Linked DNA regions of Caenorhabditis elegans. The protein of the gene in region 1 interacts with the protein of each later gene in a pairwise test. Each region holds a gene or a part of one and is shown on either strand. Other genes may lie near its edges.

The links. The genes of interacting proteins can lie anywhere in the genome.
Region 2: the proteins of ddl-1 (region 1) and ddl-2 interact in binary tests that used the Caenorhabditis elegans proteins (3 or more experiments, as listed by UniProt).

The regions. Positions count from the first base shown.
Region 1 is NC_003280.10:5,646,659-5,649,806, forward strand, and holds ddl-1 (WASH complex subunit homolog 3), read right to left. Parts: upstream 1,227-3,148; 5' UTR 1,217-1,226; coding exon 1,172-1,216; intron 1,123-1,171; coding exon 757-1,122; intron 707-756; coding exon 548-706; 3' UTR 501-547; downstream 1-500. Other genes in the region: F59E12.9 (TFIIS central domain-containing protein), read right to left, coding at 1-122, 170-242, 290-379; sam-4 (BLOC-1-related complex subunit 5), read right to left, coding at 1,530-1,751, 1,870-2,077, 2,124-2,416; F59E12.17 (Anaphase-promoting complex subunit 13), read right to left, coding at 2,471-2,626, 2,700-2,783; putative serine/threonine-protein kinase zyg-1, read left to right, coding at 3,116-3,148. UniProt on the Caenorhabditis elegans protein: Acts as a component of the WASH core complex that functions as a nucleation-promoting factor (NPF) at the surface of endosomes, where it recruits and activates the Arp2/3 complex to induce actin polymerization, playing a key role in the fission of tubules that serve as transport intermediates during endosome sorting.
Region 2 is NC_003280.10:13,541,646-13,549,783, forward strand, and holds the start of ddl-2 (WASH complex subunit homolog 1), read right to left. Parts: upstream 6,001-8,138; 5' UTR 5,985-6,000; coding exon 5,781-5,984; intron 4,952-5,780; coding exon 4,327-4,951; intron 1,855-4,326; coding exon 1,190-1,854; 3' UTR 1-1,189. UniProt on the Caenorhabditis elegans protein: Acts as a component of the WASH core complex that functions as a nucleation-promoting factor (NPF) at the surface of endosomes, where it recruits and activates the Arp2/3 complex to induce actin polymerization, playing a key role in the fission of tubules that serve as transport intermediates during endosome sorting.

The DNA of each region.
Region 1 (3,148 bases):
TGATGAAAAATCTGCCGAATCAGAATCTGAATCGTCCAAATAATTCAAAATTGGAGGTTTTTCCTTCTTCTCGCTTTTCCGACGTTTCTCTTTCGACTTTGGTGTAACTTCCACGTCATCTTCTGAAAAACTGCCGATAGTCTAATCATTTATTCGAACGGTCGCTCACCTTGTTTTTCCCTTTTATTTTTCTTTTTCTTCCCAGGACGTTCACCTTTCATAAGTGCAAGAGCGACAGGAGCCTAAATTTCAAATAAAGTTTCCATGTGATATTAATTTAATAACTTACAGATTTCATGATGGCATTTTTGAGTAGTTCACCCATGGCTGGGCTCACAAGTTCTGCTTGTGGCGTAGTTACATTTGAATGTGATTTCATTTTGTCTGAAAGGGAAATTAGTATGTATATTATATCAATTTTAAAAAAATGAATAGAAGTATATCATAATCGTTAAAACGAGTTAACAGTGTAGTACATCATATTCCGAAAATTAAAAAATAATGTTTTATACATTTTATGAACCCGTAAAAATATACAAAAAATAAATTAATCAGAGTCAGAGAAGGATGCCGTAGATTCTCCAGAAGATTCATAATTCCGTGAAGTCTGTGCCTGTGGACGAGATGGTTCATCACCGCGTTTCAAAATTGATGGGTCGACGCCTTCGGATTTCATTTTCTGTATTACACCAGCTTCAAGCACTCCCTAAAAAAAATTACAGTATTATTAAAGCAATTTCAAGTGGATAAACTCACCAATTTCAGCATTTTGAAATATTTACTATAAGCCGGGTCGTCTTTGATAAGAACCGTCGTAGTATGTTCTTCTGGTTTCTCTTCCACTGTTTCCTCCACGATTTGTGAAGAGCTGGGATTCGATTCGTGAATTTCGTCTATTTCTGGTGCTGATGATGGTGTGGCGGTGGTTGATTTATCCTCCAAACTCATTCCTGCCAATTTCGATTCCATCAAGCGTAACTTTCGATCGGCAGTGTCTAAACTCTGCTCTGCCTTTTCCAAAATGTCTTCCATTTTATTTCCGAAATTATTGAGCATTTCTGTCATTTTCATGATGAGACAGTTGAATGTTACTGCTGTACGGTGATGATCGATCGGAGGAACCTTAAAAAATTTAGCTTTAAAGTTTTATGATGAGATTTTAAGATATTACCTTGTTCAAATCGATTGCAGGTTTGGTTCTGGAGCTCGCATTCATTGCTGGTGATCTAAAAATTAATTAATGATGCAATTAATTACAAGAAATGGAAATATGAAAAAGGCACAAACCATATAAGTTAGATTCAAAGTAAATTAATTAGATTAATTTGCGAAAAATACTAGAATTTATGATAAATTTAGAAATCAAAATAGGATTGACGGATAAATATGTGCATGAACTAAATAAAAAATCACAAAACGGCAATGGAATTTTGATATTGCGAGAAGAAAGTGAGATAAAGCCTTCAAGACTTTTTGGGAAGGGCGATAGGGCAACAGATTCAAGAAGAGAATAAAAATTTACAAATTAATTATTTTGGTAGATCAACTACGCGGATTTCTTCAATCGGCTCAATTTGATCAATATGACCAATATTTTGATTATGGCGGGGCGTACTTTGAAGTGAGCTATCACTGCTTGGAACGGGAGATCTGTCGAGCACTGAGCCAAGATTAAGAGGAGGAAGACGTTCGTCGGGAGTTAGAATTTCATTAAGCGTTTCAACCATTGGCACAATATCTTCAAGAATTATCTGAAAATTAATTTTTGATAAACGGAGCAAGTTTTTTGAGCAAAAATGTAAGGTGCAACATTTTAAAAATCAATTTTGGTATGATGCATTAAATATTGTTTCTTTTTCTAATTCGCACCTGAATACTACAGATGTCATCGTGCAATTGATTAAGTCCGCTCAATGCAGCCATAAAACCGTCATGTTGTTCTTTATGAGCTCTTGTTTCTTCAATAAGTCTGATCATTTTCGCTTCAACACTCTTGCAAGTTGCTGGAATTTTAGCTTGATCTGCTGCCACTGCTTTCGCATTAACGGCAAAATGTTCTTGTAATCGTGTTGCTAGTCTGAATATGTGACTTTAAAACTTTGAATAAAAGGAATAAATCTTACCGAAAAAAGGGCCGCGAACTGATTTTTTGATGAGTGTAAGAAGCTCCTTGATTCGTTTGTGGATCTCGTTTGCCTATTACGGCTGGAATCACCGGCAAAAAACGGGGAATTTCGGTGAATCTTTTGTAAATTTCATCATCTTCGAGTTTTTCTTGAGGAATATTGCCATCTTTGACCGTGATAATGCCTTTTGATCGTTTAGTACTGGCTCGAGTGAGAAATGAAAAAGACGACTGTTGATTTTGAGGATTAGATGATGTGCCCGCTGTTGACGAGCTTTGTTCGTTTCCCATCTGAAAATTTGTGTAAGAAGTTAAAAAATTACATCAACTTTCACAAACCTTGATTTAATTTTTTGTACTATTGATGGTTGGTCCCATTTGAATTTGATCCAAACCAGTCTCGTTCCAGGTAGTGTTTGGGTCGGCGGGCTGACGAGCAATGGTGGGAATTGCGTCGGTTTCGATATCTGGCTCAAACTCGCGCGGAATTTGAATCTCGGTCTAAAAATGAATAATTTTAATTTCAATACTTACGGGTTTTACACTTTAATTATTCGAAAAGCTTGTCACAAACCTTTGGCAGACGCTGGAATATCCACTCTTTGTCCCACTCTAAAAATGTGTGATCAAGTCGAACTTCTGATGGGACGAACGACATACGATGGCTTTCTCCGAAGTTTCCTTATCCTGTAATCAATAATTTTATGTATTTTTAATCGGAAACGTTTAAAATAAATGGAAAACTCCAAAAAGGAATAAAAAGAAAAATTGTGCAGACCTGGAGAGCGCGTTGAGTTTGAACACATTACGAAACGAGAGACGCAGAGAAAACCGATAACTGAACAGTTGCGCTCTACTGACAGACGACCGAAATATGAATTCTAGTCCCTCGGCCGCCAAAACGGATTTTTCAAACTCCAAATTTATTTTTCCTATTTTTTGTGTTTTTTCATCTTATTTTTAGCGCACCAAGTGTTGATCAACTATGAGATGAGCGGTGGGAAGAGTGGTTCAAGATTGAGT
Region 2 (8,138 bases), 7.9 Mb from region 1:
AGCGGGTGGAAGGAAATTGATAAAAAATCACAGAAAAAAAAGTGAAAAAAATATGGAAAAATCACAGAAAAAAGGTAGGCAGGCAGGCAGGCAAGTAGGGGAGCAAAAATATAATTTTAAAATTTTGAAAAAATAGGGAAAAACGAGAGTTTTGGGAGCTGAAAATGGTGAAAAAAGGCTTAAAAAATAGAAAAATTTAGATTTAATTATTTAAAAAATCGGAAAAAAATTTCGGGAGGTTTTGAAGAAAAAATTGTCAAAAAAATAAATTGTTTCAACTTTTTTTAGCGATGAAAAAAATTATTTCCCGATTTTTTTGATAGAATTCCACCGAAAATTTCAATTTTAACCTGAAAAAATTCAAAAAAAAAGTCGAAAAATTGGAAATTTCCTGGAAATTTCTCGAATTTTTCAACAAAAATTCATGGAATTTCATGGAATTTTTTTCCATCATTTTTAACGGATTTTTTCCAATTTTTTTTCACAATTTCAGGCAGAAAAAATCGAAAAAATCAGTTTTTTTTTTCAGAGATTTCTAGAATTTTCCAATAAAAATATGTGAATTTCCATCAGTTTTTACGATTTAAAATTTGGGAAAAGCCCAATAAAAAACTGAAATTTTTACGTTTTTCGGCATTTTTAAAATAAAAAAAAGTTAATTTCAAACTGAGAAAATTCTTGGAAAAAAATCGGAATTTTTTAACTGAAATTTTCCGTTAATCTGCAAAATTTTTCAACCTAGAAATTTGAATTTCCGTCATTTGAAGCTAATTTTCATAATATAAATTTAGTTTTTCCTTCGAAAAATTTAATTTTTTAGAATATATTTAATCAATTTTAGACGGAAATTTCTCGATTTTTTCAATAAAAATTCGTGGAATTTGCATCATTTTTTCCAATTTTTTAAACAAATTCAGGCAGAAAAATCCGTTTTTTACAGAAATTTCTCGATTTTTTCAATAAAATTTTTTTCATGGAATTTCCATAATTTTTAACGGATTTTTTCCAATTTTTAAACAATTTTAGGCGAAAAAAATCTGTTTTTTTTTTCTGAAATTTCACGTTTTTTTTTCAATAAAAATTCGTGAATTCCCATAGTTTTTAACGGATTTTTTCCAATTTTTTTACAATTTCAGGCAGAAAAAATCAGTTTTTTTTCAAAAATTTCCGTCATTTTCCATCAACCATTTCAGTCCCATTCCTCATCATCAAAATTCGGTGGAGCCGGAATCGTGGATGAAACCTTGGCCGGCGGCTGGGCTTCCACTTTCCCATTGATCGCCTTCCTTCGTGCATCCAGTGCCTTCGACAATGCCGACATCAAGTCTCCACCACCACCACCGCCGTCTGGAGCTGGTGCTGAATTTCTCGGCGTTTCCGATGCTCCGAGAAGAGCCGACGACTCAAGAATCCCATCGAATTTCCCCTTCCGCTTCGGCTTTTCGGCAATCCTGCTGAGTTTCGCATTTCCAGCTCCACCGGCTGCTCGGATCGCAGCCATCAAGTCTGAACGGCCTCCGTCGACGGATTTCGTGGGGCTGAAGGTTACGGAGGAGCTTGCTGATGGGGTCTGCGGTGGAGGTGGAGGTGGCGGTGGTGGAGGTGGCGGTGGTGGTGCTGGAGGTGAGATGATCGGAGGAATCTCTGTGATCTCTACTGGAGTTGCAGCTGGCTGAGGAGAAGGATCAAGCTTCATCGGTGGTGGTGGTGGTGGAAGAATGAACGTCGTCGGAGCATCAGCTTCAGCTTCAGTGGGCTCCGATGCTTCAGGAATCTGATCATCTGCTGGAAGGATGTCTAGAAGCCGATCCTCATCGATTTCCGGGTCGCGGAGAGTGAAATCGTGGGCGTGGCCTGGAATTTGGATTTTTTAAAAGATTTTTGATTTTTCTCTGAAAATTTTGGTATTTCAAATTTTTTTAACGAAATTTTCCAAAGGAAATTTTCCCCTAACATTCCCGAGTTTTTTGGAGCAAAAATGAAATTAAAAAACATTTTTTTTTCTATTTTTCCACAAAAATTTGAAATTTTTCAATATTTTTTTTGAAAAGCTAAATTTGGCGAAAATTCGATTTTTTACAGTTTTTCCTTGAAAACTGGATATCGTTTTTTTACTCAAAAATACTGAAAAATTTTGAAAAATTTATAAAATTAACACAAAATAATTTGTTCATAATTTCGCTGAAAAATTGTGAAAAATAACTTTTTTTTAATTTTCAAACAATTTTAGCGTCACAAATTCTCTTTTTTTCCTGTTTTTTTTTCATTTTTTTTTCATTTTTTTCCTCTTTTTTCTCTTTTTTTTTCTCTTTTTTTCCTGTTTTGTTTCTCTTTTTTTTCATTTAAATCATTTTAAAAAATGAAAAAAAAAACACTTGAAAACGAAAAAAAAATGACAAAAAAACACCTGAAAAAGAAAAAGAAATGAAAAAAAAACAGGAAAAAAATAAAGATTTTTTCTTTTTTTTTCATTTTTTTCTCTTTTTTCTCTTTTTTTCCTCTTTTTTTCCTGTTTTGTTTCTCTTTTTTTTTCATTTAAATCATTTTAAAAAAATGAAAAAAAAAACACTTGAAAACGAAGAAAAATGAAAAAAACAGGAAAAAAAATAAAGATTTTTTCTTTTTTTTCCTGTTTTTTTTTCTTTTTTTTCTCTTTTTTTTTCCTCTTTTTTCTCTTTTTTTCCTCTTTTTTTTCCTGTTTTGTTTCTCTTTTTTTTCATTTAAATCATTTAAAAAAAAGAAAAAAAAACACTTGAAAACGAAAAAAAAAGAAAAAAAACACCTGAAAAAGAAAAAGAAATGAAAACAAAAACCGGAAAAAAATAAAGATTTCTTCTTTTTTTTTCTGTTTTTTTTTCCTCTTTTTTCTCTTTTTTTCCTCTTTTTTTCCTGTTTTGTTTCTCTTTTTTTTCATTTAAATCATTTAAAAAAAATTAAAAAAACACTTGAAAACGAAAAAAAAAAGAAAAAAAAACACCTGAAAAAGAAAAAGAAATGAAAAAAAAAAAAAGATTTTTCTTTTTTTTTCCTGTTTTTTTTTCTTTTTTTTTCATTTTTTTCTCTTTTTTCTCTTTTTTTCCTCTTTTTTTCCTGTTTTGTTTCTCTTTTTTTTTCATTTAAATCATTTTAAAAAAATGAAAAAAAAACACTTGAAAACGAAGAAAAGTGAAAAAAACAGGAAAAAAAATAAAGATTTTTTCTTTTTTTTCCTGTTTTTTTTCTTTTTTTTCTCTTTTTTTTCCTCTTTTTTCTCTTTTTTTCCTCTTTTTTTCCTGTTTTGTTTCTCTTTTTTTCATTTAAACCATTTAAAAAAATGAAAAAAAAAACACTTGAAAACGAAAAAAAAAAGACAAAAAAAACACCTGGAAAAGAAAAAGAAATGAAAAAAAAAAAAGATTGTTCTTTTTTTTTCCTGTTTTTTTTTCTTTTTTTTCTCTTTTTTTCCTCTTTTTTCTCTTTTTTTCCTCTTTTTTTCCTGTTTTGTTTCTCTTTTTTTCATTTAAACCATTTAAAAAAATGAAAAAAAAAACACTTGAAAACGAAAAAAAAAAGACAAAAAAAACACCTGGAAAAGAAAAAGAAATGAAAAAAAAAAAAGATTGTTCTTTTTTTTTCCTGTTTTTTTTTCTTTTTTTTCTCTTTTTTTCCTCTTTTTTCTCTTTTTTTCCTCTTTTTTTCCTGTTTTGTTTCTCTTTTTTTTCATTTAAACCATTTAAAAAAATGAAAAAAAAAACGCTTGAAAACGAAAAAAAAAGAAAAAAAACACCTGAAAAAGAAAAAGAAATGAAAACAAAAACCGGAAAAAAATAAAGATTTCTTCTTTTTTTTCTGTTTTTTTTTCCTTTTTTTTTTTTTTTTTTTTTTCATTTAAACCATTTAAAAAAATGAAAAAAAAACACCTGGAAAAGAAAAAGAAATGAAAAAAAATAAAGATTTTTCTTTTTTTTTCCTGTTTTTTTTTCTTTTTTTTTCTCTTTTTTCCTCTTTTTTCTCTTTTTTCCCTGTTTTTTTCTCTTTTTTTCATTTAAATCATTTAAAAAAATTAAAAAAAAAAAACTCGAAAACGAAAAAAAATGACAAAAAAAAACACCTGAAAAAGAAAAAGAAATGAAAAAAAAAGAAAAAAAATAATGATTTTTCTTTTTTTTCCTGTTTTTTTTTTCTCTTTTTTTTCTCTTCTCTTTTCTTTTTAAAGAGAAAAAAAACAGGAAAACAGAGAAAAAAAAGAAAAAATCTTTTTTTTCTCTTTTTTTTCCTGTTTTTTTTTCTCTTTTTTTTTCTTTTTTTTCCTGTTTTTTCCACAATTCCCCCCGCTCCAAAAATCACCTTTCAAATTAGGCAAACTATCAGGCATCTCAACCATTTTCGCCGTCTTCTTCTTCTTCTCATTAAAATTAATCCGAAATGCCAACGGATGATTATCATCCAAAGAATCTTCCTGCATTAGAGTACTGCTCAGTGCCGTATCCTCAAGCAGTTGCTCGTGGAGCCGAAGCTGAGCCAGCTCATCCGTCGTCCGTCCACTTCTAGATGTCCCACCATCATCATCCGCGTCAAGAGCCTTCTTGCTGAAATCTCCAGAAACACCTTCGAAAGCTGGAATTGAGGTGCCCGCGTAGAAGAGCTCAGCGATGTGCTCTGGGCTCCTGGAGAGCTCCCTGAGCCCTCCGAGCAGCCGCTTCTTGTACCGTTCCCATCCCTTCTGCTCATACTCTTTCAGTACTTGACTCGTCAGGAAGAACTTGTCGGGTTTGTTAAGCTCATAGGTAAAGTCGATGGGCTCACAGGGTCGGAGCACATGATCATCGGCTCGGCGGAATGCTGGAAGCTCTTCGGAGCCCGGGAAATGCTCAGTGTCGATGTTTATTCGGAAGAGAGATGTTGAGGTGGGGGGCTCTTCGGGGAGTTTTGGAAGTTGGCGGGGCAGGGTGAACGTGATCACTTTGTCGGACTGCAAAATTGCTCGGATTTGAATTTTTTCTAGTTTTTTTGAGTAAAAACATTGAATTTTCTCGGTTTTTTTCCGAAATATAATTTTTTTTGCGAAAAAAATTGGACTTTAAATTTTTTTAAATTCTATTTTAAAAAAAATTTTGAGCTTTTTTTTTCACAGAATTCGTTTTTTTTTCCAATTTTTGGGCGAAAGGTTATAGAATTTTCAATTTTTTAAAAGAAATTTTTTTTTTCTTGAAACTTTCTAATTTCCGGCGTTTTTTTTGGGGAAAAAATTGCATTTTTTCCAATTTTTGGGAAAAGAATATATAATTTTTGATTAATAGAGTTTTCGACATTTTAATAATTTTTTTAGTTTTTTGAATAAAAAATCGAAAAAAAAAACTAGTTTCTAGGGGAAAATTGAATTTTGATTTTTTTTTTCAAAAAGCAGTTTTTAAAAAACTTTTTTTCGAAATAAAGTCGTGTATTTTTTCCAATTTCCAATTTTTTGAAATTTTGGAATTTCCGGTTTTTTCAAACATTTTTTAATGTTAAAAAATTCAATTTTTTTTAATTTTACGTCGAAATTTGCAATTTAAATTATTTTTTCGATTAATATTGAAAAATTTGAAAAACAATTTTTTTTTTGAAAAAAAAATATTTTTTGCTTTTTTTTACAAAAATATTTTCTTTAATTTTCAAAAAAAAATTAGCATTAATTAGCTTTTTGTGAAATTTTGAAAATTCCGGTTTTTTTCCAAATTTTCTGGGAAAAGACAAAAAATTAATTTTTTTTCCTCAAATTTCTACAATTTTTTTTTCAGCTTCTCCACGATTTCCAGTACCTCCTGCAAGCTCTCAAGCTTCTTCTCCAACACCTCCGTCCTTCTATCAATCGCCTCAGCCTTCCCATGAATCCTCGTAATTCTGTGCTCGACCCGATCGAAAATCTCATCAGAAACTCGCAGAAGCTTCTGCAACGACTGATTGATTCGAAAAATGGTCTCCTCGCGGCCAGCGTCGCGTGGAATCAGCGGAACATGGTACATTTGTTACCCGAAAAATCTGGAAAAAATCGGGCTAAAAATATTAAAAATAGGTGGTAGAAGTATGGTAAAACTGGCTAGAACAGTTGGAAAAATTTCGAAAAAATTGGAAAAAATGGGAGAAATTTTATAATTTATGGGGGGGAAAAGCTTAGATTGGTACAAGTTTTGGAAGATTTTTTTTTGGCGAAAGCTTGGGGGAAAATTGGATATTTTGAATGAAAAAATCCGGGAAAAACTGGAAAAAAAAGTAAAAAATGCGATTTTCAAGTTAAAAAATCGAGAAAAACGGAATTTTTAAGCAAAAATTAATCAAATTGAAGTCTGGCAATACGTTCGGCTACTCGCATCGACACGTTGAGCGATGGATGAACTGGATTGACGGCGGGCTCGCCGAGCAGTGAGAGTGCGGCGATGGAGAAGTACGTGTGGAGAATATCTGCAAAAAATGTGGTTGTTTACGGGTTGAGAATTGACATTTTCTTTGAAATTTTTTAAACTTGCAATTTTTCACAAGTATTTTCTTCTGAAATAATAGCTGGAAAAATTGCAAAAAAATCACTCATTTTTTGTTATTACACATTCGTGGAAATGTTTAGGGAGAAAACTTCCACGAATGTGTAATAAAAAAATTCTAATGGTTTTTCTCCGGGAATAGCTTGAAAATTGCAACAACAAAAAAATGTTGTTATTACACGTTTGTGAAATTTTTTAGGAAGAAAATTTCCACGAATGTGTGATAACAAACAAAAAACACTTGTTTTGTGAATTTTTGTGAAATATTTCTTTTTTTTTTTTTTGAAAGAATTTGTAATAAAAACTAGCCGGTCTTTTTGCGGACCCCAAAAGTCAAAAAGTTTCAAAAATCGATTTTGTTTTTCTAGAAATATTGACATATTCTGAAATTTTAAATTATTTTTTAAAAAATCGTAAAAATTATGGAATCATCGGAAAAAATTCCGAAGACGGAAAAATATTTAAAATACTCCGAAAATTCGAAAGAAAAATTATTTGAAAATCTAAAATTTAAAAGCTTTTCGGTGCTCAAAATTGCATTTTTTGTAATTTTGAAGCTCTTTCGGAGAAAAAGCCATCAGAATTTTGTTATTACACATTCGTGGAAATTTTCTCCCTAAAAAATTCCACAAATGTGTAATAACAAAAATGATTGATTTTTCTGCAATTTTGAAGCTCTTTCGGAGAAAATAGCCATTAGAATTTCGTTATAACACATTCGTGGAAATTTTCTCCCGCAAAAATTTCCACGAATGTGTAATAACAAAAATAAGTTTTTTTTGCAATTTTTCAAGCTATTTCCGAAGAAAATAGCCATTAGAATTTTTTTATTACACATTCGTGGAAATTTTCTCCGTCAAAAACTCCACGAATGTGTAATAACAAAAAATTAGGGTGTTTTTTTTCAATGTTTCAAGCGTGTTTCGGAGAAAAAAAAATAGTAGAAATTTTTTATTACACTTTCGTGGAAATTTCCTCTCTTCAGAATTTTACGAATGTATAATAACAAAAAGACGTGTTTTTTGCAATTTTTCAAGCTATTTCCGAAGAAAATAGCCATTAGAATTTTCTTATTACACATTCGTAAGAATTTTTTCTCTAAAATATCTCACGAATGTGTAATAACAAAATAAGCGTTTTTTTTTTGGGTTGCAATTTTTCAAGCCATTTCCTGAGAAAAAACCATCAGAATTTCGTTATTACACATTCGTGGAAATTTTCTCCCTAGAAAATTCCGCGAATGTGTAATAACAAAAAATGGGGTTTTTTTCAATGTTTCAAGCCATTTCCTGAGAAAAAACCATCAGAATTTCGTTATTACACATTCGTGGAAAACTTTGTTTCTAAAATATTCCACGAATGTGTCATAACTAAAAAAAACTCTACAAATTCCAAAAAAAAAATAGTCACATTTTAACGACTTTTTCCCAGTAAAGTCTAAAATTTCCTATTTTTCGGCAGAAATATCAATGTACCTAGGCTTTTAAAAAAAGTCTGGTTTTTTTTGCATTTTTTAAGATGTATTTTTTGAAACTTTTAGAATTTTTTCGATTTTTTCTTTGAAATTTTCAGTTTTTTTTTCCAGTTTTTTTAAAAGTTTTTTGCTGTTTTTCTAGGAAATGTTCAAATTTTTTCGCGTTT